Linked DNA regions of Mus musculus. The protein of the gene in region 2 interacts with the protein of the main gene of each other region in a pairwise test. Links are inferred from orthologs where the notes say so. Each region holds a gene or a part of one and is shown on either strand. Other genes may lie near its edges. The genes, in order: Dvl2, Thap1, Gpatch2l and Zfp385c.

Evidence for each region.
Region 1: the proteins of Thap1 (region 2) and Dvl2 interact in a two-hybrid assay, tested with the Homo sapiens proteins (2 studies listed by BioGRID and IntAct). The two-hybrid records come from large-scale screens. The link is inferred for Mus musculus from reciprocal best matches to the Homo sapiens genes THAP1 and DVL2.
Region 3: the proteins of Thap1 (region 2) and Gpatch2l interact in binary tests that used the Homo sapiens proteins (3 or more experiments, as listed by UniProt). The two-hybrid records come from large-scale screens. The link is inferred for Mus musculus from reciprocal best matches to the Homo sapiens genes THAP1 and GPATCH2L.
Region 4: the proteins of Thap1 (region 2) and Zfp385c interact in a two-hybrid assay, tested with the Homo sapiens proteins (3 studies listed by BioGRID). The two-hybrid records come from large-scale screens. The link is inferred for Mus musculus from reciprocal best matches to the Homo sapiens genes THAP1 and ZNF385C.

Annotation. Positions count from the first base shown.
Region 1 is NC_000077.6:70,005,094-70,013,485, reverse strand, and holds the end of Dvl2 (segment polarity protein dishevelled homolog DVL-2), read right to left. Parts: intron 8,332-8,392; coding exon 8,186-8,331; intron 8,050-8,185; coding exon 7,940-8,049; intron 7,825-7,939; coding exon 7,689-7,824; intron 7,549-7,688; coding exon 7,458-7,548; intron 7,351-7,457; coding exon 7,281-7,350; intron 7,196-7,280; coding exon 7,056-7,195; intron 6,973-7,055; coding exon 6,896-6,972; intron 6,034-6,895; coding exon 5,966-6,033; intron 5,672-5,965; coding exon 5,543-5,671; intron 5,467-5,542; coding exon 5,335-5,466; intron 5,206-5,334; coding exon 5,026-5,205; intron 4,710-5,025; coding exon 4,491-4,709; intron 4,343-4,490; coding exon 3,894-4,342; 3' UTR 3,377-3,893; downstream 1-3,376. Other genes in the region: Acadvl (very long-chain specific acyl-CoA dehydrogenase, mitochondrial precursor), read left to right, coding at 1-52, 185-314, 403-528, 840-1,038, 1,196-1,300, 1,716-1,802, 1,888-1,950, 2,040-2,141 and 6 more.
Region 2 is NC_000074.6:26,153,847-26,162,827, reverse strand, and holds the start of Thap1 (THAP domain-containing protein 1), read right to left. Parts: upstream 4,660-8,981; 5' UTR 4,378-4,659; coding exon 4,307-4,377; intron 2,054-4,306; coding exon 1,858-2,053; intron 395-1,857; coding exon 29-394; 3' UTR 1-28. UniProt on the Homo sapiens protein: DNA-binding transcription regulator that regulates endothelial cell proliferation and G1/S cell-cycle progression.
Region 3 is NC_000078.6:86,286,858-86,289,362, forward strand, and holds part of Gpatch2l (G patch domain-containing protein 2-like), read left to right. Parts: intron 1-1,942; coding exon 1,943-2,118; 3' UTR 2,119-2,505.
Region 4 is NC_000077.6:100,631,251-100,639,642, forward strand, and holds part of Zfp385c (zinc finger protein 385C), read right to left. Parts: intron 6,643-8,392; coding exon 6,494-6,642; intron 3,508-6,493; coding exon 3,397-3,507; intron 1,610-3,396; coding exon 1,444-1,609; intron 1-1,443.

The DNA.
Region 1 (8,392 bases), on a different chromosome or scaffold from region 2:
CTCTATGGCACAAAGGCCCAGAGAGAAAAATACCTTCCCAGAGTGGCATCTGGTAAGGCAACCTTAAGAGACCCAGGGGTAAGGAGTGTGACACTGCTCACGGTGTTACAAGGAACTGCCTGGGGATGAGGGGGTGCAACTCTGGTGGTCAGGATCCCCAGTGAGCCCGTTCTCTCCCCCACAGGGCAGGCTTTGGCTGCTTTCTGCCTAACAGAGCCCTCGAGTGGATCCGATGTAGCCTCCATCCGAAGCTCAGCCATACCCAGCCCCTGTGGAAAATATTACACTCTCAATGGGAGCAAGATCTGGATCAGGCAATCTTCCGTTTCTCTTCTACCCTTCAGCCCAGTGGCCTGACCCTGCTGCTCTAAACCCTATACTAACCACCTCACTCTTCCACAGTAATGGGGGCCTGGCTGACATTTTCACTGTCTTTGCCAAGACGCCAATTAAAGATGCAGCCACGGGGGCCGTGAAAGAGAAGATCACAGCTTTTGTAGTGGAAAGGAGCTTCGGAGGGGTTACCCAGTGAGTATGGGGCAAAACAGAATCAAGGATGGGGACAGCACTGGGCTCTCAAGAGCAAATAGTCAATACAGGCCACGCTGGGGCTATCTCTGTACAAGAGGCACCCACAGGAGGTGAGCAGTTTTGTTTCCACTGGGGGAACACAGGCTAACAGGCCATAGCTAGATATCCGTAGCCCCTGGGGCACATAGGCAGTGCCCTGTATCCTTTTTATAGTCTGGGGAGTTCTCCCCTGATCATGAGACCCGAAAAGGCCGTTTTCCCCCACAGCAACCTGTTCATACCTCAACTTTCCTGCCCTGCCTTTTCAGTGGGCTCCCTGAAAAGAAGATGGGCATCAAAGCATCTAACACGTCAGAGGTGTACTTTGATGGAGTGAAGGTGCCATCAGAGAATGTGCTAGGAGAGGTGGGAGATGGCTTCAAGGTTGCTGTCAACATCCTCAACAACGGAAGATTCGGGATGGCTGCAACCCTCGCAGGCACCATGAAATCCCTCATTGCCAAGGCGGTGAGTCCCAGCCCAGTCCCTAGCTAGCACATGTCCCTGACTGCCTCAGAGCGCCGACACACACACATGCACACTCGACCATCGGCACAGTTAGGCCTCCAGCCCGTCCAGGTGGAAACTGAAGAACCACAGTGGGGTAACATGCGCCCTCTTGCAGGTTGATCATGCTACTAATCGTACCCAGTTTGGGGACAAAATTCACAACTTTGGGGTGATCCAGGAAAAGCTGGCTCGGATGGCTATTCTGCAGTATGTGACTGAGGTAAGGGCCTCCTGGGCCCCTTCCCTGGAGCCCTATGGCTTTCTTCACAGTTGGGTCAGACTACAACCCCCAGCAGCACCTGGGGCAGTGGGTCTCCAGCTTTACACCAATGCCCTAGGGGATGCGAGGAGGCATAGTCAGTTCTCTTCTGGAGGGTGGTGCTGCTCTGCTAAATGCTGCCCAGATGCACCAAACACGACTTTTAACCCACCCCTTTACAAAGTCGGAAGCCTCGAAGCCCCTGATATACCAGAGGGTCACATATTGGACATATTTGACCTGACCAGGAGGCTAAAGTGAATTCAAGGGTTGGAGGAGTAGATCAGCACTGGTCTTGAAGGTCTGAGCATTAGCCATTCTGTCTGATGCAGCCCTTCCCTGTTGTCTTCCCCATGTCCCGACCATGCTCCCTTAGTCCATGGCTTACATGCTGAGTGCCAACATGGACCAGGGATTCAAAGACTTCCAGATAGAAGCCGCCATCAGCAAAATCTTTTGCTCGGTGAGGACCCAGGTGTGATGGGAGGGCGGAGTCCAGATTAGGACCTCAGCTCAAAAATCCAACTCATCTGGTTCTCTGTCCTCAGGAGGCGGCCTGGAAAGTGGCAGATGAGTGCATCCAAATAATGGGGGGCATGGGCTTCATGAAGGTACAGAGTATTCCTCGGCAGGGGGGGGCATCTGTTCAGAGTGGACAGGCACATCTCAACAGAGGTTTCTGTGTCTTCCTGCGTGCCAGGAACCAGGGGTGGAGCGTGTGCTCCGAGATATTCGAATCTTCCGGATCTTTGAAGGGGCAAATGACATTCTTCGACTGTTTGTGGCTCTGCAAGGCTGTATGGTAAGAGGAAGGAGGATGAGAGAGAGCAGCTGGGGAGGACACTGAGTCCTCACTGTCGCCGTCCCCCTTCTCTCCACAGGACAAAGGAAAGGAACTCACTGGGCTGGGCAATGCCCTGAAGAATCCTTTTGGAAACGTTGGCCTCCTGATGGGAGAAGCAGGCAAACAGCTGAGACGGTACCTCATGGGCCGGGGCCAGGGTCAGAGTCAGGGTCAAACAAGATGGGAGGCCGCAACTGACCAGTCACTCTTCCATCTCCTCTCAGGAGGACAGGAATCGGCAGTGGTTTGAGTCTGTCAGGGATTGTCCACCCAGAGTTAAGTCGCAGTGGTGAACTGGTGAGTGAGCCTTAAAGCAGAGCCTGCGGTGGCTGTGCGCTGCCTTCCTCTCCTGAGCTCTGTCTGTGACTCTTGTCTCTTCAGGCAGTGCAGGCTCTGGATCAATTTGCCACCGTGGTGGAGGCCAAGCTGGTGAAACACAAGAAAGGGATTGTCAGTGAGTGAGCTCTGCAACCCCCTTCCCTCCCTGATTCCCTCCCTCCGACTAACAGCCCCACCCTCATCTACCTGACAGACGAGCAGTTCCTGCTGCAGCGACTGGCGGACGGCGCCATTGACCTCTATGCCATGGTGGTGGTTCTGTCCAGGTAAGGCGGCAGCGAGGGACGCTTGGCAGGCTAGAGCCACAGAGGAGCTGGGCCAACACCAGCACTCAGGATCATTTTAACCTCTGTTTCCTCACAGAGCCTCAAGGTCCCTGAGTGAGGGCTACCCGACGGCACAGCATGAGAAAATGCTCTGTGATAGCTGGTGCATTGAGGTGAGCCTTGGAGCTCCCCAGTACAGGTGGGCCTTGGAGCTCCCCAGTACAGGACGGCCTGACCGTCCCTCCCCTTCCCTCTCCCCAGGCTGCAACTCGGATCCGAGAAAACATGGCCAGTCTGCAGTCCAGCCCTCAGCATCAGGAGCTCTTCCGGAACTTCAGAAGCATCTCCAAGGCCATGGTGGAGAATGGTGGCCTGGTCACCGGTAACCCCCTGGGAATCTGAGACTCCCAATCAGGCCCTGGCAAGGTCATGTGCCTTCTCTGATGCCAAAACCCTTTATGGGGGTGATGGAGTACTTATTGCCTTAACAATAAATTTTCTACCAAGTCACTGTCTGCCGTGAATGTCACTGCTCCCTCCTCTCCACTGCCTGCCTCGCAAAGAAAGGAGCCAGAGGCTTGGGGAGTTGGCCTCTATTTGCTTTATTTGGTGTTTTGTACAAGTGACTAAAATAAATAGAGTAACAAAGGCAGCTACACAGTCCCCAACACACCACCAGCCTCCTTGGACTGCTGTCTGGGGTACCCAGCCCACACCTTCTTCTTCCCAGGGTACCACTGACCACCACCCACCCTCAACATGAGAGCTGACTAGGCACCTGGAGGTGGCGGTCATATTCTGGGGTTAGAAGGGATTCTCCATATAAAAGAGGAACTGTCTATTTAAAAAAATACTCCCCCAAATATAAGAAAGTCTATTTTAACCCCCCAAAAAGCTTATAAAAAATAAAGCTAAAAATAACCAAAGGTCCCCATCTACCCCCGAGGAAGAGGGGGAAGGACCAGGCACTGCTGGTGAGAGTCACAGTGGCAAAAACGTTTTGGTAGGCACCAGCCGCCAGGCTGAGCCCAGGCACTATGAAGGGCACCAGGCTGAAACTTGCCAGGCCAAGGGCACAGACCCAATGTGGCCTCAAGATGGGTCCCTACATAACATCCACAAAAAACTCACTGGGGTTGCCCATGGCCATGTGGAAGCTCTGACGGCTAGCTGTCAGTTCTGGGGGCACGGAGCCCAGGTCTCTGACTGGAGGGGCACCAGGGGGCTGCACTGCTGTGGAGACAGGGGGTGGGGGTGGAGGCATCATAACTACCATCATGGGGTTATAGGGGAGAGCCATGCCAGATGGGGCTCCATAGGGATGGAGCCCGGGAAGAGCTCGGAGATTAGGAGGAGCGCCTGTCGAGCCCCTGGATGGAGGAGGGCCGCCATCACCAGTCCCACCAGGCTCCCCACCCCGCCGAAGGCTGCCTCCCCGGCTGGAGAGTTCTGACTCACTGCCACTGCCGGACTTGGACTCAGGGGCCCGTTCCTCAGGCCTGCCTGTGCGCCCAGCCCCCCCATCGCTTCTTGTCGACCCGCTGCTCCGGCTCCCTGTTGGAGGGCAGAGGTGACGAGGAAAATGAAGCTCAGCCCAGAGTCCTCAGGATCCCAGTCCCTGCTCTTGCCTCTCCTCCCCGAATCCGCTCTACTTGTGCCCACTTTCTCTGGCTGTACTGGTACGTGGGAGTGGGTCACTTACCCTCACTGTGCTGGCTGCTGGCACTGCCTCCACCATAGGTGTACGAAGAAAGCTCGTGGTAGGGTGGAGGCTGGGGGCTGTAGGGGTGTGGCGCTGGATACTGGTAGGAGAAGGTGGGCAGCAGGGGCCAGGGAGTAGCTCCAGGCAGAGGTGCCAGGGTATCCTGGTCTGAAGCCCCACTGGAACCGTCATTGTCATTCAGAGAGAGGTTAACTAGGTCTGGAAAAAAATGGAAGAGAGGTCCCTGCTTTAGGAGGCCAGGATTCCTGAGAACAGAGAAACCTGAGCCATTTCCCCAGAGCTCCCCACGAGACAAAAGCCAGAGACCATGATGGCTTACAACAGGAAACTCTGCTGCTCTGGCAGAGAAACAGCCAGGACTCTCACCAATAGCCCCAAAATGCTTTTGTGAGCCCCGTGCAGCACTCTTTCCCTTGGGGATGCAGCTCAGGTACCTCGCTTACTCAGCAGTACTACTCAGCAGTACCGGGGCACACATCAGCCTGAGCTCCTACAGCCAGACCTGCTGACTTACAACTCTCACAGCCACCACTGAGGTCCCCGAAGACATAATAGCACTGCTCAGAGAAAGTAATCTTGTTGACGGTGTGCCGGATGAGTCCCGCCTTCAACAGCCCACTGGCATACTTGCGGGCCTCCCGGCGCTCAGGAAAACCTTCCACGTGATGGTACAGCCAGTCCACCACATCGGAGCCTGGGATCCAGCACAGCAAACAGGTCAGACTCTCCTCCCAGCTCCTCCCCTCCCCTCCACCTTGTGTTGTGCCCAGCTTTGGCCTCCTCCCCACCTTCCCATGCCACCTTGCTCAGGGCCTGGGAATACCTAGAAAGGCGTTTGGGATGGTGATCTTGAGCCACATGCGGTCCCGGACTTCGAGCCCAGACTCTGGGGCTGCCATGGCCTTGGTGACAGAGGCCATGTCCATGTGGACAGAGAGACCCCGGCCTTCGCAGCCTGATAGGAGAGACCACGGAGAACTTACGAAAGGTCCCTCACACACCCAGGGAGGCGGGAAAGGAGAGAGACTCACCATCAGGCAGAGAGGAGCCAGATGTGATAGTGCTCATAGATGAGGAGCCAGGGTAAGCAGGGAAGGCGCCAGTCAGCGCAGCCGAGTGCGACACCCAGGCGGCTGGGTCGATGGGCTGGATGGGCTCATCTAGGACAAGAGTAACGTGAAACACCAAGATGATTGCTGCTCAAGCCTGGAAAACTAGGCCTGTGTGTTCCAGAATTAGGAGTTCTGTCTACCCCCATCCCTTGGCCCTCCTGAACACATTCCCTACAACTTCCAGCTTTTCTCATCTCTTTTTGGGCTTGTTTGGTTGAGGCAGGGTTTCACCCTGTAGCCCAGGCTGGCCTCATCCATCTAGAGATCCTCCCGCCTTAACCTCCCAAGTGCCCACGCTCCCCAGATCTCCTAACTCCAGACCCCAGCCCCAGCATCACTCACTTCGAGGGAGGGTGAAGTAGGCCTGGGGAGACGGGTCCCAACACTTGGCCACGGTCAGCACGATGGGGCTGTGGGGAAGAGCAGAGCAGCTCAGGGGAGGGACGAGGCCTCAGGAAGCCCGAGGCCTGGTGGGAGGAGACTGAGGACAGAGAGGTGGGAAAGAAAAGAGCTCACGTTGCTGGGCTAGAGAGAGTGAGGGTGAAGGCCTCCACAGTGCGTGTGACTCACAACATGGCTAAGTTCAAAACACTGCTGCGGGGAACAATGGAGAGCAGAGTGAATGTTCCCTTCACTCACAGCAAGCCTCACCCAGGTAACACCAAACCATCTTGTTCCAGGACTCATGCATGAAAAACCATTAAAGGTTTTCTTGACCAAAGAAGCCAAACGGTAATTATCATCAGTGAGGAGAGGGAGTGGCAAGGAGCACACAGTGGGTGGCCTCTTCTCAGGTGCTCACCCACATCTGCTTCATGCTCTAGTGTGGAGTGACATGCCAGGGAGATTTGCAATTTGTGGGTTTTGTTCTCTTTTGAAAGACGTATTTGTTTTTTTTTATGTACGTGAGTACACTGTCAGTCTCTTCAGACACACCAGAAGAGGGCATCAGATCTCATTACAAATGGTTGTGAGCCACCATGTGGCTGCTGGGAATTGAACTCAGGATCTCTGGAAGAGCAAACAGTGTTCTTAACTGCTGAGCCATCTCTACAGCCCTTGTTTTGTTTGGTTTTTGTTTTCTCGCTATGTAGACCCGGATGGACTGAAACTCACTCTGCAGACCAGGCTGCCTCACACTCAGCCCAACTGTGCCTCAAATAACATGTTTAAAGGCATGCACCACCATGCCTGGCCTCACGTCTTTATAAAAATTGCAAAACAAAGGTAAACAGGCTTAAGCCCAAGAGGCCTGGGGCCAGCCGCACTCACCCTGGCTTGTGCACGATGTCTCTCAGCACTCGTACAGCATCGTCGTTGCTCATGTTCTCAAAGTTCATATCATTTACCTGAAGGGAAGGGGTGGTGGGTCATGGGCAGTGTGGGAGGGGCAGAGCATCCGCCCCAGCCAGCAGCCAGGCCGTCAGCGCACCTGCAAAAGCATGTCTCCAGGCTCGATCCGCCCGTCCGCAGCCACCGCGCCCCCTTTCATGATGGAGCCGATGTAGATGCCCCCATCACCACGCTCGTTACTTTGGCCCACAATGGAGATGCCCAGGAAGTTGTACTTCTCTGTGGAGGGGGGCCATATGACTGAGCCCCAGAAACCCCAAGCCCCTCTCTCTCCTTCCCTTCTCCCCGTCAGGACCCTCCATACCCATGTTGAGCGTGACCGTGATGATGTTGAGAGACATTGTGGAATCGGTGACACTGCTGAAGGATGAGGTCTACAGCGGGGAGACATGAAAGGTGTGAACTGCTCCCCGTCAACAGAGAGAGAAGCCACAAGCTTGTGTTTCAACCAGAGCCCACTTCATCCCAAAAGAACCCTCACCCTCTCCATGCGTGGCGGCCGCTGCTTCCTTCGCCTTCGGTGGCGCTTGAGGAGGCGGGAGGCACTGCTCTGCTCAGTGGAGCTGCTGAACCTGATAGCAATTGAGAAGCATAGCATTTGGAGGTGGAAGTGGTCAGGGAGCCACATGAAACAAGAAGACTGGCTGGGGGGGAGGGGGAGGGGAGGAGGGGGGAGGAGGGAGGGAACAGGGAGGGAAGTGTGCAGCCATACCTACTCATGGTGTCATCCTCATCCGAGTCTCCTAGGCTGGTACTCTCCAGCTCACTGGTCATGAGGGTGGAAGAGCTCTCGTAGCCAGCCAGGTGGCGCTCCAGCCTCGAGGGGCCACCAGGCCTGTGGCCACCAGCTGTGTATAAACAAGAGACTCAGGAGCCAGGCCTCCCCTTCTTCATACCCAGCATGCTAAGGCTTGCCTGTCTGCCCAGCTCAGTCTACCCTGCCTCCAGGGTCCATCCCCTCACCGCCATGTTCACTGCTGTCTCTCCTCCTAGGTCGGTCTCGCCTCAGTGATACGACAGATTCGGTCTCTGTCTCAGGCTCTAGATTTTCATGGCTGCTGGATACATTAGGGCTACACAGGTAGAGAGAGTTTCCAACCAAAGTCAGTCGGACAGAGCACCGGAACCTCAGTCCCCCTCTCTCAAGAGGTCTAGACTGAATTCCCTCTTCGCTCCCATCCCCTGGACTCAAGAATATAAAGGACTCACTGGAAGGATGGAGGCCTTGAGTCCCCAATTCCACTGGTCCTTTCTGGTGGCAAAGGGGGTAAGGGTGGAGGCGGAGGAACCAGTTCTGTCCGAGACTCATGGGCTGGGGGAGCCACCTCAGGCTGTGGGGTATCTGACGACACAAGCTAGAAGAGAGCACGTAAGAAAACATGGTTCTGCTGGGGAGCGGTGTACGAGAAGAAACTA
Region 2 (8,981 bases):
TCTTGTCCCACTAACACATCTCATTTTTTCATGCTGGAACTTCAACAATTTCAAAGTAGTCATTTGGTAGGATCACGTAGCCCCTCTCGGACGCGTCGTCCTTCTCTCTCTGAAAGTGGACGACTTCCTTGAGCTTCTCGAGCTGCCTCTCCTGCCGCCGGCACCGCTGCTGGGCCGTCTTGAGCTTCTTCCTGAGTTTCTCCACCTGCTGCTCCAGCTGCAGGATCCTCTTCCTCTGGTGCATCGTATCCTCCACAGTGTAATTGTGGTCACAGAAAACCGACAGGTTATCAGGGGTCTGCAGAGGGGGCATTAGCAGCCCAATAGCAGCATCAACCTGGGAAGCGGGGGGTGAAGGAGAGGGGAGCTGTTCTTGGGATTCCAGGTCTTCCTTCTAGACAGCAACAGACAAGCACGTGGGGTTAGTAACTAACATAGCTGAGGTTTCAACATTAAACAGTTTTTGTCACTCCATGATACACAAGAAGTCCAAAATGAGAAAATACATTGTCTTGGTGGGTTGCAGTACTGGCATGAAATCCAGGGCACCAGGACATCTAGGCAAAGCTCTCTAGGATTCAAACCGCCTTCCAGGCCTAAACATGTCAGCGTTAGGCTTTGGCTTGTCTGTAGATTTTAAAAGCCTAGGTGTGTAGCCTAGGCTGGCCCTACACGTAAGCTCCTCCTACATTTACCTCCCAGGTATTAGGATTACAAGCGATAAGCCCCTGGCATCAGTTTAAGGTGGTTTTTGTTTGTTTGGGGTTTGGGGTTTCCTTGTATTTGTATGGGGGAATGGGGCATCCTTACTGTATAGTCCAGGTTGGCCTGGAAAATGGCAGTGTTTACCAGGCTAGCCTCAACTGTGGCAATCCTCGCAGTTGGTTCTCTGCAGTGCTCAGACTGCAGGTGTGTGCCACCATGCGGCATTTCCAGTCCTAATTCAACTTTTCTAACTGACGTTAAAGTGGAATTTGTGAAACAGAGAAAGTGATTTAGTTGGATATAAGTAAATACTAAACACCCAAAACAGAAAAAAATTAATCTGAAAATCATCCCCAGGAATGAAAATGAAGCTTATCAACACATAAATGAAACAGAGTTTCCGTTACCTTAAGCAGAACTAGACTGAGTTATTTACTGTGAGATCTCTAATGTGCAGAATTGTTTTTAAAACATGTATTATTGTTAATAGTGGCCTTTTTTTTTCTTAAAAAAGAAAGATTTATATTTTAATCATGGGCATATCTGCTGTGGGAGTGGGGGGATGGGAGGGTATGAGAAGACTGCTTGAAGTAGGTGTTAGGAATCAAATTCAGGGCCTCTGGAAGAGCAATACACATTTTTTTATTTTTTTTAAGATTTATTTATTTTATGTGAGTACACTGTAGCTGTCTTCAGACACTCCAGAAGAGGGCATTGGATTCCATTGCAGATGGTTGTGAGCCACCATGTGGTTTCTGGGAATTGAACTCAGGACCTCTGGAAGAGCAATCAGTGCTCTTAACCTCTGATATTCTTAACCACTAAGCCCCAACAGTAGCTACTGCTAAATGATAGGTTTCAGATACACTTGTTTTGTTATCCTTTCCCTGATTTTTCCCATGAACACATTAGCTTCAGAAATGAAAACAGCATTCACCCAAAGCCAATGCTTATGATAGTAGAATTTGGAAGGTAAAGGCAGGAGGATCAGGAGTTCCGATTCAGCCTCAGCAGCTCAAAGCCAGCCCAGACTACTTACGACTCTGTCTCACACAGGGATGGGAGGGGAAGAGACTGGAGGGGAGGAAAGAAAACAGAGAAAGGACTGGGAAAGGAAAAAACACCAACCCAGCACTTAAAAACCCACGTTACCTTCTCATGTGGCTCGATATAGAGAAATATTGTGGGCACAGCGTTCTCCTTCAGTAGCTTGTTGTTGCACTCCCTCTTAAAGCAGTCCGGGGTGAAGTGCTCCGAGCAGATGCTGCTGTACTTGGTGGGCTTGAAGTTTTTCCTTTTAACAGCTGCCTCCCACTGCTTACAAAGGCTGGGGCGAGTAAGAGGAAACCTAAGGAGAGACAATCCAGTTCTCTGACTTTAAAAAGATAAAGAAAAGCCCCACACTCTCCGGCTTACTAAAGAACTACCTTACCCCATCCTAAGGAGACTCTGATTGGAGATTAGTTCTGGTTACCAATCTCCCTCAGGAAGCTTTACCTTGTCATAACGAAGACACTTGACAGTGCAATTAGAACAGACAGTATGTGCAGTGCACTTCTACTCATGCCTTACTAGCAATTCTGTGTCTTATAGAAGAACAAAAATCGGACATATGTCTATATCCTCAAAGAGACTTCTAGCTCTTTTTTAGTCAGTCCAACACATAGACTACATTCTGACAGCCTGAATTATACGCAAGTGATAAAGAAGGTAAGGACTTTATTTTCGTGCTTAATTCAGCATACAGAGTGGGGAGTCTTTATATTTATTGCCCTGTGCTTTTCTATATCAAAGACGCAGTGGGAGACGCTAGAGTGATCAGAAAAAGCTATAGAATGTTTCAATTTAGCTTTACTGTTCTTTAGCTGTTCCACCACATAAGGTATGCCAGACCCCGATCATCCTGTTCTTCATGAAGACCTAGCCAACCTTCGTGTTAGGGCTTATCTTTATATTAGCCAGCTTTCTCCACTGCAACTATGTTCAGGCTGGAAAAAGCATATGCCTAAAAAGAAGTTCAAAGCACCATGGTGGCAACTTCTTATAAGTCCTAGTGTCTCGTCTCCTAGGACGGGGGCACAGAACTGTCAAGCAAGATCTTGGCCACTTACTGTTCTTACATAAGGCTTAAGACTCATGTTAGCCCTTGTTCTTATTTTCCAACACCCAGCAGTTGAAACGGTCTTTTTGATGTGTGCCATTTTTAACTAGTCTGCATACTTGAAGGTTCCCTGGGCCATCTTAATAAAGCATAGGAAAGGGAGGCGGCAAGTCGAATGCACGTCCCTGTCACCATTCCCTCATCTAGTCCTACATTCTGAGGATGTATGAAATTTCAAAAAACCAAGTCATAGTTTAGGCTATATTCTAGCCTATTCCCCAGAGAAAACAGCACACAAGTCTTACTTTCTTGCAAACATTATTAAACATGAACACTACTGACCCCTCAAAATCTGAGAGACCATTGTGAAATTTGTTTCTGTAATCGTTTTGCTATGGATAACTTGCATAATTTACCAGTGGATCTGATTTCTTAGCTATCATCTGCATACAGTCAGGAATTCCTCCAAAACCTAACATAAAACTTGTAACAACAAATTTACCTGCCTAAAAATTGTCACATTTTGTGGACTGTTAGCATTAACAAACACCATCAGTAACGCTAATTCTATGACTTTCTTCTTTCAAGAGAGTATTTTTATTTTTCTCTTTAAAAAGATTTATTTATTATATATAAGTACACTGTAGCTGTCTTCAGACACATCAGAAGAAGGCGTCATTTCTCATTACGGATGGTTGTGAGCCACCATGTGGTTGCTGGGAATTGAACTCAGGACCTCTGGAGGAGCAGTCAGTGCTCTCAACCGCTGAGCCATCTCTCCAGAGTATTTTTCACCCTGGCTTCTTGATTGCTGCACCCACTACAAGAACGAGCCCTGACGGCTGTGGGGGTAAAGCTGGTATTCGCTCACATTAACCTTCACCACGGCAACAGAGTCAAGTGTGTGCTATCGTCTCGTTCTTCCTGTGTGTTGAAAGACAGGGGTTCATCTCGACAATACCAAGAGCCTCCTCTAAAGCCCATGGATGCTAAAGGTTGGTTCTTTGACGCTAGGACTTAAGAGTCCTCCCTGGCATCCCGGTCAGCTGCCCTGCTTCCTTCCCGGCATCCACAGTGAGGTCCGAAACCTGTCCTCCTCCCCCTGTGCGTTCCCAGCTCGACTTCCTCCCTATGTGCCACGGCCACGCCGCGGCTTGGGACGAAGAGGTACGCAGGGCTGCGAGAGGCTTCTGGGCGTCGCTCGCTCGCTTGCCCGCCCGCCGGAAACCCTCCGCGAGCGCGAAGGCGCGCGGTCTCAGCCCCCAGCGGAGGCCAAGACCAACGGAGACGCCGCGCGCCCGGGATGCGCAGCGGGGGCGCGCAGCCACGGGGACGCGCCCCCGTGGGTCCCCGCCCCCGCCGGCCCGGCCCGTCCGCCGCCCTGAGCGCCCGAGCGCCCGCCCCGCCTCCTCCAGGTCTCGCGCGGCCACGCGCCGGGCTCCGCCCCCACCCGCCCGCGCGCCCCTGTCGCCGCGGCCGCGGAGCACGCCAGTTACCTACTTGTGGAAGGAGACGGGCTTGTCCTTGTCGTAGCGGTTCTTGCAGCCGTAGGCGGAGCAGGACTGCACCATCCTTCTGGCCCTCCACACTTCCCTTCGGCCCGGGAGGCAGGCGAAGGGGGCCGTCGGGGTCGCCGCGCTCGGCCTTGATAACGCTCGCCGCTCTCGGTGGCGTCGGTCAGCAGTTACGGGGACGATCACCTCGCCGTGGGGTGGGGGTTGGGGTGGGGGAGTGACTACCCTGTCCGTTGTGGGGTTTGCTTTAGCAGAAGGACCACAGCTGTCGCCCGTCTCCCATCTTCAAGATGGCGGAGGCAGCTTCAGCCTCACCTCTCGCGAGGACTCGGCTCGCCGTCTCTGATTGGCTGAAGGTAACGTTCCCAGGGAAGCTGACCATTGGCTGGGGCGAGGCGCGCCTGTGGGGCGTGGTCAGCAGTGCGGAAGTGGGTGGGCCCTCTGCGCCTTGGCCGGAAGAGAGCGCGTTTGTTTGGGATCCTGACTGCAGTCGTTCTCGTAGTGGTGACTGTCGTTAATTTGTCCGGCGTTTTCTGCTGCAGCTTGATAAAGAACGGCCTGTTGGGTCCGAAAGCCTGCAGGAGAACGTGGAAGAGCTCGTCCCTGGCCATACGCAGTTTTTTTTTAAAGGGGGGGGAACCAGCAGATGCGTGGATTGTACAAACCTGTGGTCCACGTTCAGAATCCAGGTGACCGTCTAACTAGACAACGAGGACAAACGCGCATTTCATTTCCTCTAAGCTGGGAAGGAAGACCTTTTTTTTTTTTTTTAAATGTATGTGAGTACACTGTCGCTGTCTTCAGACACACCAGAAGAGGGCATCAGATCTCACTGCAGATGGTTGTGAGCCACCATGTGGTTGCTGGGAATTGAACTCAGGACCTATGTAAGAGCAGTCAGTGCTCTCAACTGCAGAGCCATCTTTCCATCCCTACAGTGCACTTCTGAACGTTGTTACCTTTGTGTAGGCGCAGCGATTTTTCAAGCTGAAGACAAGTGTTACAGGCTTGACCCTCTGTAGTTTGGAGTGTGTGGCGCATTCTCTCCCTTATAAACTATTTTCTGTACCCTTAAATATTGCTTCTCTTAAGGATCTATTTAGTGGCTACCATCTCTAGAACTTTGACTATTGAACCCACATACCATCTTTTCCTAGCTCGTTTTACTTGAGCACACATGGACTTGCCTTCAGAGTTATCAGGTATATGGTTTAATACATTCGCCAACTACTTAAATCTGAAATCCTGGTGTCACTGAGATAAAACAAAAAAACTAGGCTTTAATTCAGCAGAAAAGAACACTTGTTGCTCTTGCAGGTGACCCGGGTTCGATTCCCAGCACCCACAAGGCAGTTCACAACCATCTATAACTCCAGGCAGCTGGGCACCAGGCACACATGTTGTGGGTCAGAGGACAGTTTGTGGGAGTGGGTTCTCTCCTTCCACCTTGTGGGCTCTGGGACCTAACTCGGATCATTAGTCTTGATGCTAAGTGCTCTTATCAGCTGCTCCTAGGACCCCTTCCTCGAGACTTAGGTTAACCTCATAGAATAGAGAGGTTATTCTCTCACCACCATCCTTGAATTCAAGTACTCACAGTCTCAACTTTTTGTCAGTCCTAGTCTTCAGCTTTCTCTCTGTCCCTCATAAAAACACTGCCAGCCCCTTGTTTATAAAGCTTAGACATCCCAGGATACCTCTGTAGTGAATAAAGTCCAAATTGCTGATGATGGCAGCATAAGCAGCAGGTACTCCTGTGTTTGTACCATCTTCCCCTGCTTGTCCTTACACTCCTGTAACTGCTCAGATAGGCAGCTTTGCTTGGCCTGGGATGCCCGTCCCCTGACTGCTTCATCTTTCCTTAAGATGTATCTTGTGTGTTTTTTTCTGTCAGGTTTGCCTTATACCTTTTTGTTTTGGTGAAGTTGTGTACTTATGTCTGTAATTGTGTGCTGTAACATCTCTGTCTCATCTGACTGGGGTGCTGGGGAGGCTGGCAGCATCTTACTGAACCTGGTAGCCTCAGCAGCTCTGGTTGTCACAAATTAGGAGACATTGAATTAAATGGACCTAGAAACTGTACCTAAATTCGTTTCAGAGAAGTAGCTATATATTAGGAACACCAGAAGAGTGGTTTATTAACATTTTATAGGGTATTGATACTAGGTTCTCTACTTTAGTCCACTGCAAAGAAAAAAAAAATCATGATATGGTTAACAGATGGTACCCCAAAAATAATTTATGTAGTTACCTTAAACTCTGAACACATCATATGGCTTGTTATTTATTGAAAACCTGTTCTGTACTTCTGAGGGGCTATATAGTGAAGATGGGTGGTATAGTAGTCTGCCTTACTAGTTATTTTACTAAGCTAGTGTTCTGTAGTGAGAAGAAGGAGAGTCACACAGAAATTCGAAAAATGCTGGAGGAGGTTGCAGTTATTAAAGATGAGGCTAGGACTGGCCTACTAGAGGAAGCAACTACTGAAAGATTTCAAATTAGCTGTGAGGACATCTTCTGTACCTGGTGCCATGAGGCACGGGAAGCCCACCTCCCGAGGCCTGGGGATCCAGCCTGTTCAAGGAGAAGCAGAAGTGTGTTGGAGTTGCTGAGTGCAGTGGCTTGGGGGACAAGTAAGAGGAGAGGTTAGAGGATAAGAGCCTAAGGGGTTCTGCAGGCTGATGTAAGCTGCTGGTTTACCATGCTGAGGTTCTTGTGCTGAGCAACAACCTGTCTCCACAGTCAGCTTTGAAGCAGAAGGGTGATGCAGGTTTAAATACACTTCAAGTTCAGGCTTGGTAGCACACTCTTGTAATCTCAGCCTTCACAAAGGAAGGGCAAGAATTGTGCTGAGTCTGAGGACTACCTGGTCATAGTGAGTTCTAGCCAACCAAGGTATACAAAGTCAAAACCTATCGAAAAAATAAATTCTGCTGTGTTGAGATGGGAGTAGGGATGTGAGGTGTAACGTGGGCGGTAAGTGATCATTTATCTCGTTCATTAGTTCATTTTCCTATATTATGCCCCCATATGGGCTAGCATGTTATTTACAGAACTGTTAGTGAGGCATATTAGTGTATCTTCATAGAGCTTATTCTATAAAGGGGAAAGTAGAATAAAAGTGTAAATTAAGGGCTGGAGACTTTTTTTTTTTTAAAGTATAAATTATACTAAGGTACCTGAATAAGGGTAACTAAGGGTAGGTATCCCATGCAAGAAACAAACATTTGAATGTTAATCAGAGGATGGAATGGATGAAGGTGAGGAGGAACATTCCAGACACTGGGAGTGTATGTTAAAGCACCAACCTGTGTTTGAAAGTACAGCCAGTAGAAGAGGGCCAGACCCTGGTGGTGGAGCCAGTTAGGAGAAGGCCATGAAGTAAAGATTGAAGGAGCCGAGTATTAGTATGGATGAGATTCAGTGGCCACTGAACCACTTTAGGCATTAGTATTTTATAAGGGTAATTCTGCTTATTTTAAGAGCTGTAGAAGACAACAATTCAAAAAGACAAACCAATTAAGAGGCTGTTGCTGGTGAGCAAAGAGGTGGTAGCTTGGGTGAAGGTGGTAGCAGAGAAGCCAGGACTGGTAAGAACAAGGTGTGTGCAGTGCAGGCAATACAGTTTAGTGAGAGGAGAGTGAGAGAACTGGGCAGGGTTTGAGCATGGTTCTAAGTTGAGCATTAGATGTATGAATGTATGTAATACAAAAGTGAAAGAAGAACAACTCACAACAAAATAGAACTTGGAAGCACATTACGCCAGGGGCAGTTTGTAGGACTGGGGATGTCAGAAAAGAAAGCTAAAAGTGGTGTTAGAGTTAAGCAGTAAATGCCCATTAAGAAAACACTTGGGTCCAAGCAATATCCTCCCTGGTCTGGGTGAAGCCCTAACCATCCAGTTGGACCTGATCAGTCAATCACCTGGCTGAGAGCCCACCCCTAGAGAGAGGTTCACCTTAAGACATGACAAAGAGAGACAGGTGGAATGAGGTACTGTAGACCCTTCTAGAATCCCTGCCTCTGGTGCTGTAGAATTCAACTTCGTAAGTCTGATTCAACTTCATAAGCCTGCCTACTTTTCTTTCTTTCGAAGCATTGCTTGCCTTAACACTTGGGATTTCACCCGCATATGGGCATGCTTGTCCACAATGTGTTTGACTTCCATACCAGCTTAATTATGCCATCCTAAATGGTAGAGTTGGTTTGGTGGGGTTTTGTTCCTGTTCTTTAACCATTATCCTCCAGTCTTCAGGCAGCTGCTGAGTTTTATAGCTTGCTTGCCCTGGATTTTTTTTTTTTCTTTTAACCTCTAAGAAGACTGTACTTGAGCCTCATTTGAGTGCATCCTTTAATTGTGTTAACAAGACTGAGAACTCCAAAAGGGGACTCCAACTTCCCTTTACCACTGGTTCTATGCTTAAGACTGCAAACCACTAAGGAAGTGGACAAGGCTCACTCTAGAGTGCCTGCTTTGTGGTCACTGATTCAGAGGAAAACTAGTCAGGTTGTTGTATGTGTTACATGGCTAGATTTTTCTCTTATCCTCTTCTGTCTTACTGTTTGTAACTTGGAAGTGAAATGTATACTTTTATTTTGCTGGACATCATCCTTAATTGCCCCTATATCAAAATGGTAAGTTTAAAGATATGGTAAATTGC
Region 3 (2,505 bases), on a different chromosome or scaffold from region 2:
CATTTGATGGTGGTTTCAGAATCCAGACAAGACTTGACAGAGACACGGTAAGAGCCCTTGAGCATTCCTGGTGCCATGTCAAGTCCTACATCCTGTAGAAAAGCATACAGTTTCTCAAGATGGTCTTCATAAAACTGTCATGAGATTTGCCAACTCTGCTTCTTGGTTATATCATGTAAAGAGCAAAAGCAGAAAGTTTAAAATGTTTTAAAAATGTTACCATGTTGTGTGTATGGCTGTTTTGCTTGCTTATATGTCTGTGTACCATAGATATACAAAACTCACAGAAGTCAGAAGATGTTGGATACTCAGAAACTGGAGTTACTTAAGGTTGTGAGCCTCCATGTGGGGGCTGGGAATTGAACCCAGGTTCTCTGAAAAAGTAACCAGTGCTCTGAACTGCTGAACCCCTCTCCAGCCCCCAAACAGAGTTTCCTATGCTGCTGGTCAGAGTAGAACAGCCCAGATTTCCATGGCCAGGTGAATGAGCATCAAAACATGGTGTGTTCATACATGGGGTGCCATTTAGCTAAATTTGACTTTGTGACTGGCTGTTAGAAATGTGCCAAGGCTATCCACTTGGGTAGAATTACTGGATGGGAAAGAAAAAAAAATCTAAAATGTGCTGTATTTTAGTATATCTCAGTATATTTGTATTCTTGGCAGAGTGGGCACACGATGGGAGTGAGAGTGGTCTGTCATGATCCACTCAGGGGCATTTGGAAAGGTGAAGAAAGTAACGGCACATGGTGGGGTGCCGTTGGCGTTCAGTGGACTGGGTCCAGGGGGCACACAGCACAGCTCTGCATCAGCACTGGTTACCCAGTCCAGAGTGTCCCACCAAACTTCCTTAAAGTACTGTGCCTGATTCTATTTTCTTGTCGTATTTACTGGTAACTCCATCATATTGGGGGTCCAGTGTGCCAAGAAAACCATAGGGCTTCCAGCCCAATATTTGAGCGTGAATTGCTACTTTTGATCATTATTTTTTATTTTATTGTATTGTATTTTATTTATTTATTTTGGTTTTATGAGACAGGGTTTCTCTGTGTAGCCCTGGCTGTCCTGAAACTCACTCTGTAGACCAGGCTGGCCTCGAACTCAGAAATCCGCCTGCCTTTGCCTCTGGGATTTGAGTGCTGGGATTAAAGGCGTGCGCCACCACACCTGGCTGAATTGCTACTTTTGATCTACATAGTTTAGTTTCCTGATCCATAAAATGCAGATGACAGTGCCTACTTCTAAGAGTTTCCATTAAGAAATTAGGTCATGCAGGTAATGAATGCCACAGCTGTGATCCCAGTACTCAGGGGCTGAGGCAAGAAGACTGAGTTTGAAGCCATCTTGGGCTACTTCGTACGATGTTATTTTAAAAAAGAAACACACACACACACACACACACACACACACACACACACACACACATACCCAACATGGGGTGGGAGAGAAAGAGTGGGGGAGGGAGTCATGAGTGTCCAGTGCTTAGCAGAGCAGTGCCTGGTACATGTATGCTCCGTGGGTGAAATGTTTTGGGGTTTTCTGTATTGTAAATTTGTCCTAAGTGTTTTAAGTGAAGAAAACATTAACAGGTGATTAGGACATGAAATATAAAGATTAGCCACCGCCGCCGCCGCCTCTTCCTCCTCCTCTTCTTCTTCTTCCTCCTCCTCATCTTCTTCCTCCTCCTCCTTCATTTATTCATTTTATATATGTGAGTATGCTGTAGCTGTCTTCAAACACTCCAGAAGAGGGCATCAGATCTCATTACAGATGGTTGTGAGCCACCATAGGGTTGCTGGGATTTGAACTCAGGACCTGTGGAAGAGCAGTCAGTGCTCTTAACCACTGAGCCATCTCTCCATCTCCAGCCCCCAAGAAACTTATTTCTAGTGCTTCTTATCCTAACTTCTTACACTAACTCCTCTCCCTTCTTTTGTGACAGTGCACCCAGATGTTCTGGAGCCGGCCATCCCAGCTCAGAAGCCTCCTGACTCCGAGTGGTTGGACGGGACCTCTGCAGCAGAGAAAGCCACTGCCTTTCCTCCAGCCACGTTTTTCAAAATGCCACAGGAAAAGAATTCTGGCTGCAGCTCTAGCCCAGGAACCAATGGGTGTTGAAACTTTGTATTGTACAGTCTTAGTGTTCTGATTGGCAGTCTTGGGCCTAATGCCACAAGGACTGACTCCTCGTCACGCACAGCAGTTGCTCTTTCTTTGAGAAAATATTTGGGGAATCTTTTTTTGTAAAATATCAATTTTCCTTAAGTGGGTGGGGCACCCTCTGCTGTCCCCTTCCTTCGTTGCTCGCCCACCATTCACCTTCAGCTGCTGCCTTAGAGCTGCCTCTCCTTGGCAGCTGTGTCTTTGTTCCTGAAAATCTAGCAACAGCTTTTGCGTACCTTCTGTGTAGAGCTTTTCATGTCGCTGATGAAATCCTAAATTTGCAGCCAGTTGGAAACACGTTGCTGGATGGGATTGTGTCTGTGCAGTAAGGCTGGCCATCGA
Region 4 (8,392 bases), on a different chromosome or scaffold from region 2:
ATTATAATAGCATTAAACTGGAAATTGGTGAGATCCATCATACAGGTGAATGGTAATCTATCTTTGAGGCAGAGAACACAGCACAGGAAAGGAAAATGACCACATGTAAACTCAGAAATGATGGGTGTTAGTGGAGGTTTTAGGGGGAATGTTGTTTTTTGTCAGAGTCTAGTGTATCTCAGGCTGGCCATGAACTCACTATATAGCTGAGGATACCCTTGAACTAGATTTCTAGCCTGCCTGCCTCCACCTCGCAAATGCTGTGATCATGGGTCCGTGCCACTATTCCCAGTTCCGTGGTGGTATTAGGAATCAAACTCCGGGACTTCCCAAGTGGTCTGCAAGTACTGTACCCACTGAGGTAGACTCCCAACCCCCTGTCCTTTCTTTTCTGAGTCAGGGTCTTACAGAACCTTAGCTAGCCTTAAATTTGATGTGTATTCCAGACTGACCTGGAACTCTGAATTCTCCTTCCTCCGTCTCTAAGGAGTGTAGGGGACAGTGGTACCCATTAGCTGAGACAGGAGCTTCTCCCTCTGGCCCCCAGGTTAAAAAAAAAAAAAAACCCAAACCTACCCACATCTGAATGCAGACCTCTGACCTCTAGATTGTGGAGAAAATACACTTCTATTGTTTCAGCCACCTACTTTGTAGCCTTGTGTTCTGCCAGCCTTAGGGAACCAACACAGGGAGTAGTTGAATCCTAGCTCAGGCTAGGTGTGCTGGCAGCACGTTGCCTGATCCAGAGTCAGCCTGAGGAAGGAACAGTATAGGTGTCTGCCAATGTCTGTATATTAGGGGTCATTTTTTTTAGCAGGAAATATGGTGAAAAGCTAAAGAGATGGCTCAGCTGTTAAGAGCATGTACTGTTCTTGCAGCAGATGGGAGTGCAGTCCCCAGAACCCATAACCACTGCTACTCCAGCTCCAGGGACCTCATGACCCCTCCTGGCCTCTGTGTTCCATGAGCACCAACACATTCACACACACACACATACATTCACACACACACATACATTCACACACACACATGCACACACACATTCTCACACATTCACACACACACATTCACATTCACACACACATGCACACACACACACATTCACATACACACATTCACACACACACACACACACACACACACACACACACACACACACACACACCAAAAAATCCCAAGTTAAAAATAAAAAGCCAGGTAGTAGTGGTGCATGCCTTTAATCCCAGCACTGTCATGAGGCAGAGGCAGGTGGATGGATCTCTATAAGTTCAAGGCCAGCCTGGTCTACAGAGTGAGTTCCAGGAAAGCTGAGACTACACAGAAAAACCCTGTCTTGAAAAACCAAACAAAAGAAAAAGGAAAGAAAGATGGTTGAAGAGCCAGAGTCACTCAAGCCGCTGTCAGAAGCCAGCCTCGTTGTGTGAACTTGAAATCAAGACTGACCTTTGCTCTGAGGGGTTCCAGGGCTTCCACTGGCTGGAGGTGAGGCTGAAGACACCACTGTCCCGTTTGTGGTCGGGTTTCGAGGCCTCTGCTTGCTCTTGGCAGCTTCCACAGCCTTGAGTTTTCTGGCGTGTCTGTGGCCCTTGTAATGAGCCTCAGCCTGGTTCTGGAAGAGGGAGGGGAGGGGTCATCTTCTTCCCGTGGGTCTCATGCCTCATCTAGGAGGGAGGCTGAGTAGGGGGATAGGCCAGAGGAATATGTGGTCAAAGGGACGAACACAAGGCTCAGCCACAAAGGGGTGATGTCAGTGTCACCATCATTGCCACATGTATAGAGCCCTGAGGTTTACAACAGAGCTTGTTCTCACACAGGGGCTCCCATGCAGGCAGCCTGCCCTCAGAATCAAACTTGGCCATTTATGTAAGCTCTGCATCTCTAGGCAAGTCACAGCACCTCACTCAAAGGCTGTGTGTGTGTGTGTGTGTGTGTGTGTGTGTGTGTGTGTGTGTGTGTTGAACCTAGAGTTGCACACAAAGCCTTATGACTACTGGGCTCCACTAAGCCACATCTCTCCAACCTTATTTGTTTCTGTGTTCCCAGATCCAGAAGTGTTGAACCCAGGGACATTAACCAAGTGATGCTCTTGGGTGTCTGCCTATATGTACAGAATATTCTGGAAATGGACTACTTACTCTGTGGCCCAGGCTGGCTTTAACTCATAATCCTCCTGCCTCAGCCTCCCGAGTAACAGGACCATAGGTGTGCCCCGCTTGAAGCTTCATGATGGTTCATGGGATATGAGTTGTCAGGGTCTAGTTTATAAAGCAGGATCTCCTGAATGTTAGGGAGTCCGCCCATGGAGAGCACAGCAGTCCTCATCAAAAACATCCCATTGTTCATTATTTTAAAAATAATTCTTGAGCATTTGCTGTTGGCCCAGCCATTCTGCCAGGGCCTAGGAATGGAGACATGTCCCTTCCAGCAAATCTCTTTACTGACATTTTGTAGAATGATGTGATCTAAACATCTGGAGAGGATGCCACAGCTGGGTGTCAGAATCCTCTTTACTTCAGTCAGGAGACTCTACTTGTTTCTCAACTATTTCCCAAAAGTGGGAAAGACCAGCCTCCACAAGGCCCCCCTTTGGCTCTTTGGCTCCACTGTGGTTCAGACACCTCACCCAAAACCCCACAATGAGATTAGCCCCCTCTGCTCCCCCAGGATAGGCTGCAGTAGGAGTGTGCAAACTTCAGGGTCAGTCAGGGCTGGGTTCAAACCCTAGAAATGTTATTCACCAGCTGTGCTCCCTGGCAAATTATTTATCCACCATGAGACTGTGTTCTCCTCAGAGAAGTGAAGATGGTAATTGTGCCTCTGTACCTCTCACAGATGCATCATGGGAGTCCATTAGGGTGATGAAGCTTAGTGGTGTACACCTTTAATTCCAGCACTTGGGAGACAGAGGCAGGCAGATTTCTGTGAGTTTGAGGCCAGCCTGGTCTACAGAGTAAGTTCCAGCTAGAGTTACACAGACCCTGTCTCAACAACTACAACAAAATTCAATCAAGCTGGGCATGGTAAGGCACTCCTTTAATTCCAGCACTTGGGAGAGAGGCAGGCAGTTCTCTGTGAGTTTGAGGACCGCATTGTCTCTACAGCAAATTCCAGCCCCACTCCAAAGATGCCGGGGTGAATACATGCTCTAAACATCTTAAGTCAAGACCGGGAGTTCACATTGTAGCCTCTGGGACATCCAGAAGATGGGTGTGAAGCAGAGGGGAGGAGAATGGAATTCTAGTGGGCTACATGGAGTCAGGAAGAAGTATGAGAAGGAGCAGGAGTCAGGAGAGGATGGTGGTCAGAGCAACAGCCCCTTTGCTACCAGCTCCCATGACAGCAGCCCCGAAGGAGACCCTGCTCCCTCCGAGCCCCAATCCCATGATTCCCTCTCACCGCTGAGTTGAACCGCAGATGACAGATGTTACAGGAGATGAACAGCTTCTTCTTCAGAGGGGAAGGGACCCCAAATGTGTGGCTGATGACAGCTTTCTGGACTGGGTCCATCTGTGAGGGGGGAGTGATAGGACTTAGTTCCTCCTGCGTGCTCAGGAAAGGTGCAGTTCAAAATGCAGTCAGCCGCCCAGAAACCCCAACTCATGCTATAACTCTGACAAGGGTACAGCCTTGTTCTGGCAGACGTGATCTGTCAGGTGCCAAGAGGATGACCAGGGTGTGCTTAGGGCCATGGCCTGACACAGAATCACCTTGGTGTCTCTTGCTGCCCTTCTGGTCTTAGTTTTGAGATTTTGTTTTGGTGGGATTTCCTGTCTCCTGACCCAGCTTTTGTACTTGGACCTGCTGGTAGGGGCAAGAAGCCCTACCTCATCACCTCTGCCACTGTCCCAAAGTCTGATGACTGCTAAGCAGAATGAAACCTGCTTAAGGAGGGCAGGAAGGCAGGTGACCAAGCAGGACAACCTCTCCGGGTTACTCCAGGTGGCAGGATTGTCCCTTTTGCAATATGAACTTGCATGTTTTCTTTTTTTCCCTAATTAATATGTTTTGTTCATTTTTTTGTTCTCTTGATTATCTATCTATTTTGAGACAAAGTCTCACCTAGGTCAGGCTGGTCTTAGAAGCCTTGTCTTCCTGCCTCAGCTTCCAAGTGTTGGGATTATAGGCATGCAACACAATGCAGTAGTCTGTCTTTTTTTCTTTCTTTTGAGATAAAGCCACTCTGTAGCTGAGGGTGACCTTAAACTCTCCTTCTTGCCTCTACCTCCCAAGAATTGAGATTAAAGGCATGTGCTACCACATCTGATTTATGCAGTGCTGGGAATCAAACTCTGGGCTTTGTGCATGCTAGGCAAACTCTCTTCCAACTTTACTATATCCCAAGCCACTTTAGCTTTTTCTTTCTCTCTCTCTCTCTCTTCTGTTTTCTTCTCCCAGGGGCCTAAGTTTTGGACATTTATTTGGTTTTTTTGTTTTTTGTTTTTTGGGGTTTTTTTTGGGGGGGGTAACAGAGTCTCACTACGTAGCTCAGGCTGGCCTTTAAGTCACTGTGTAGCCCAAGCTGTCATTAGTGCCCATTCCTTAGTCTCCAGAATGCTAGCATTGCAGGCAGGGCCACCATGCTGTGCATTAGACGCCTAGGTTGTTGGATTCAAAGGAGAGGTTGTCTGGTTTAGTCAAAAGGAACTTTCCAAACCTTCCCATGGGAAGAGACCTGAGGCAGAGAGGTGAGCATGGTATAGGAACTGCCCTGAGGACAGAGGTTACAAGCTGGACAGTGCCCAAGGGACAGCCAGCCCTGCATCAGGATTTCAGAGGGAGATCTTGACACTGGGCCAACAGTAGTGTCACCTGCCTTTGGAGCCCACTCCTTTGGGCGGTAAGCACATCTGTAAATGACAATAGGGGCTAAAGCTCATAGGCCCATGCCCAGATGTCTCATGCTCCTCAGGACATCTGTACCACCCTGCAGGGGACAAACGGGGGGGGGGGGGGGAACCTCTCCAGGTTCCTGGGAAGGCATGTGACATGTGACATAGTATCCTGAGGAGAGAGTGGAGCTCATCATGATTTCATTTGAGAATTAAAGGGAAGCTGCTCCTAACACCTCAGGGAGGGCTCCGAACATCTGCTCCTGCCACACACCACACACACACACACACCATATACACCACACACACATATACCACACCACACACACACCACACACACACCACACATACCACACACACACACACATCTTCACAAATAACACACGAACTCACACATATAACACACAGACCTCCAGGTAGGTACACAAACTCCAAGACGAAGATATAACTCAAGGTCTGGAGCCACAGCTCAGCAGTGAAGAGCACTTGCCATGCAATCATGAGGGTCAGAGTTCAGATCCCAGCGCCCACATAACAACCCAGGTGCTTTTATGCACGTCTGTAATCTCAGCCCCCTGGGAATGACGGCAGGAGGATTGCTGGGTTGTGCTGGTCTGTAGCAGAACCAATTTAAGCTTACCCCCAACTAGCTTACAAATAAATGAGACTCAGACTATGGCCATTTTATTTTGCTTTGTCAATTACTGGGGGCTAACGCCTAATCTACTCTTCTAACTGTTGGCCTGGCTGCCTCCCCAGCAGTGTACCCCAAATCCTTGCTGTTTCTCCTGGCCATCTGCTCACGGTCCATCTCCTCTCCTGGTTGCCTCTCCTCTCCTGGCGAGTCTCCTCTCTCCTCCTTGTTCTTCCTTACCCACCTTCTTCCTCTCTCATGGTCCTCCTCAGACACCAACCCCGGGAAACTGAAACCCCACCTACCTCTCTTCTGCCCAGATCTAGGCTGTCAGCATCTTTATTCAACTAATAATAGTTTTAAATGACAGAGCAAGGTCAGATAGCATTACTTGGTGTATGTGAGGATTTTCTCTGGTCCCTGAGGGCAACCAGGGTCAGTATTTAGCCTTACAATACATAGCAACAAACCAAACCTCAACACACCGGTCTCTTGCTTTGCTGAGAAAACAGGAGCTCCAAGTTCAGAGAGAGACCACAGAGGACATCCAGTGACCTCCTCTGGCTGCTGCGCACACATGTGAACACATACCGACTCGCACATAACTAAATACAGAAATCATAAAATAATCTTTAACCTCCAACGCAAGTGCCCATGGGCACACATAGCTCACACACACGGATCATCCATAAAATTCCATCTCCGCCAGGTGCAGTGGCCAAACCTTTAATCCCAGCACTCAGGAGGCAGAGGCAGGCGGATTTCTGAGTTCAAGGCCAGCCTGGTCTACAAATTGATTTCCAGGACAGCCAGGGCTATACAGAGAAACCCTGTCTCAGAAAAAAACAAAAACAAAACAAAAAACACCATCTCTGAACAGTTGTGATGGTGGGGTAGGGATGATATCATCCTCATCTCTAGGTAGGTGACAGCTGGTCCTTATTTGATAGCACCTAGGGCCAGCCGAGTCATCTTCCTTGCCCAACCCCCTTCCTTGCACATACCCCCCACCCTCCTGCCCGGCCCATACCGTGCTGAAGTTGGGGAAGAGACTGAGCGGGGTGGTGCCATTGAGGTGGAAGGCGAGCAAATGCTTCAGGTCCAGCGGGGGTTGCAGAGGCCGGGCGGGCAAAGTCAGGGAGGCCAACAAGGGGCTGGGGGAGCCGGAGGCCGGACCTGCTGCAGAAGGAAGAAGGGCAAGGTCTGAAATGAGGAGCCACGGGGCTCTCTCCCACCTCTGCTGCCAGAACAAAGGGCCAAGACAGGAACTTCCCGCTCCCTCTTCATAACGGCACCATCCCAACTCCATTGTGGAAGCAGAGTCCGGGAGTCCACAGCTCAAGTCTCCTAAGCAGAAGAGTGACCCTTTCTTACTGACAAGGTCAGCACTGTGGCCCAAATAGACACCAAAGGGAGTCCAGCCAAGAGAGGGGTCAGAGGAGTCAGGGTTGACATACACAAAACCATGGTGACAGGGTGACAGCATGACACACTACTTGTCCCAGTTGATCCCAAAGCACCAAACTCAGGGAGTGCGGGGAAAGGCCAACTCTTTTTGGTCTCACTAACTGTCCCTTTCTCACTTCCGGTTTCATGCCACTCACAGAAGGAATGAAAAGAAACCCAAAGCATAGGACTTGGGAGATGGCACATTGGTCAGAGCACTGGCCAGTCTACAGGACCTGGGTCTGATTCCCAGCACCCACATGTTAGCTCACAACTGTAACTCCAGTTACAGGGGACCCAATGTCAGCTTCTGACTTCTGCTGGCATCAGGCACACACGTGGTGCCCATATATGTCTGCACTTATATGTATCAAGTAAATCTTTAAGAGTCCCCCAAAGCCAGGCAGTGGTGGCGCACGCCTTTAATCCCAGCCCTTGGGAGGCAGATTTCTGAATTCAAGGCCAGCCTGGTCTACAAAGTGAGTTCCAGGACAGCCAGGGCTATACAGAGAACCCTGTCTTGAAAAAACCAAAACCAAACCAAACCAAACCAAACCAAACCAAACCAAAAGTCCCACAAAATTAAGAAGATAGAAAGAAACCCACAGCATTCTGAACAGTTGGGTTCCCAGTGCTGGTGGGGTACCTGCTGTTTCTCTGAGGATGCACCCCATCCAGCATCCAGGGTGACACCCCCAAGCCAGTCCTCAGGACCCACGGGAACAACACTGTGGTTTTGTAGTCTTTGGTCTTAACAGTGTGAAGTAAAGGCAGAAAGGGGCTGGAAACCGACAAACCAGATTTCAAGGGAGGAAAGGGAAAAATAAAAGCAGAAAGCAAGCTGGGCGGTGGTGGCGCTCGCCTTTAAACCCAGCACTTGGGAGGCAGAGGCAGGTGGATTTCTGAGTTCGAGGCCAGCCTGGTCTACAGAGTGAGTTCCAGGACAGCCAGGGCTACTCAGAGAAACCCTGTCTCGAAAAACAAACAAACAAACAAACAAAAAAGCAGAAAGCAACCCAGGTTACTGGAGACTTACTTGGGTCCTGTAACTGCCAAACCAAAAGAAGTGCCTTTCAATTCTTGGGTGTTAACCCCCTGAAACACCAGATGGGTTTATTTAGCATCTGTAGATGTAATGCCTATAATCACAGCCAGATACAGGAAAGCGGGCAGGTGGCAGATGGTAGGGGGAGCGTGGAGGATGGGAGGGAGGGGGAGCTCACTGAGGGTGAGCTCTCACCTATCTGTTCACAGACAGTGTTGTGTTATGTCAGGAGCAAGCACTCTGTCATTTGGTTTACCATCTCCTAGGGAAAAAGATTTTTTTGAGACAGGGTTTCTTCTGTAGCCCTGGCTGACCTGGAACTTACTCTGTAGACCAGGCTGGCCTCAAACTCAGAAATCCGCCTGCCTCTGCCTCCCAAGTGCTGGGATTAAAGGCATGTGTGTGCCACCACTGCCCGGCTAGGCCCAACCTTCTTTA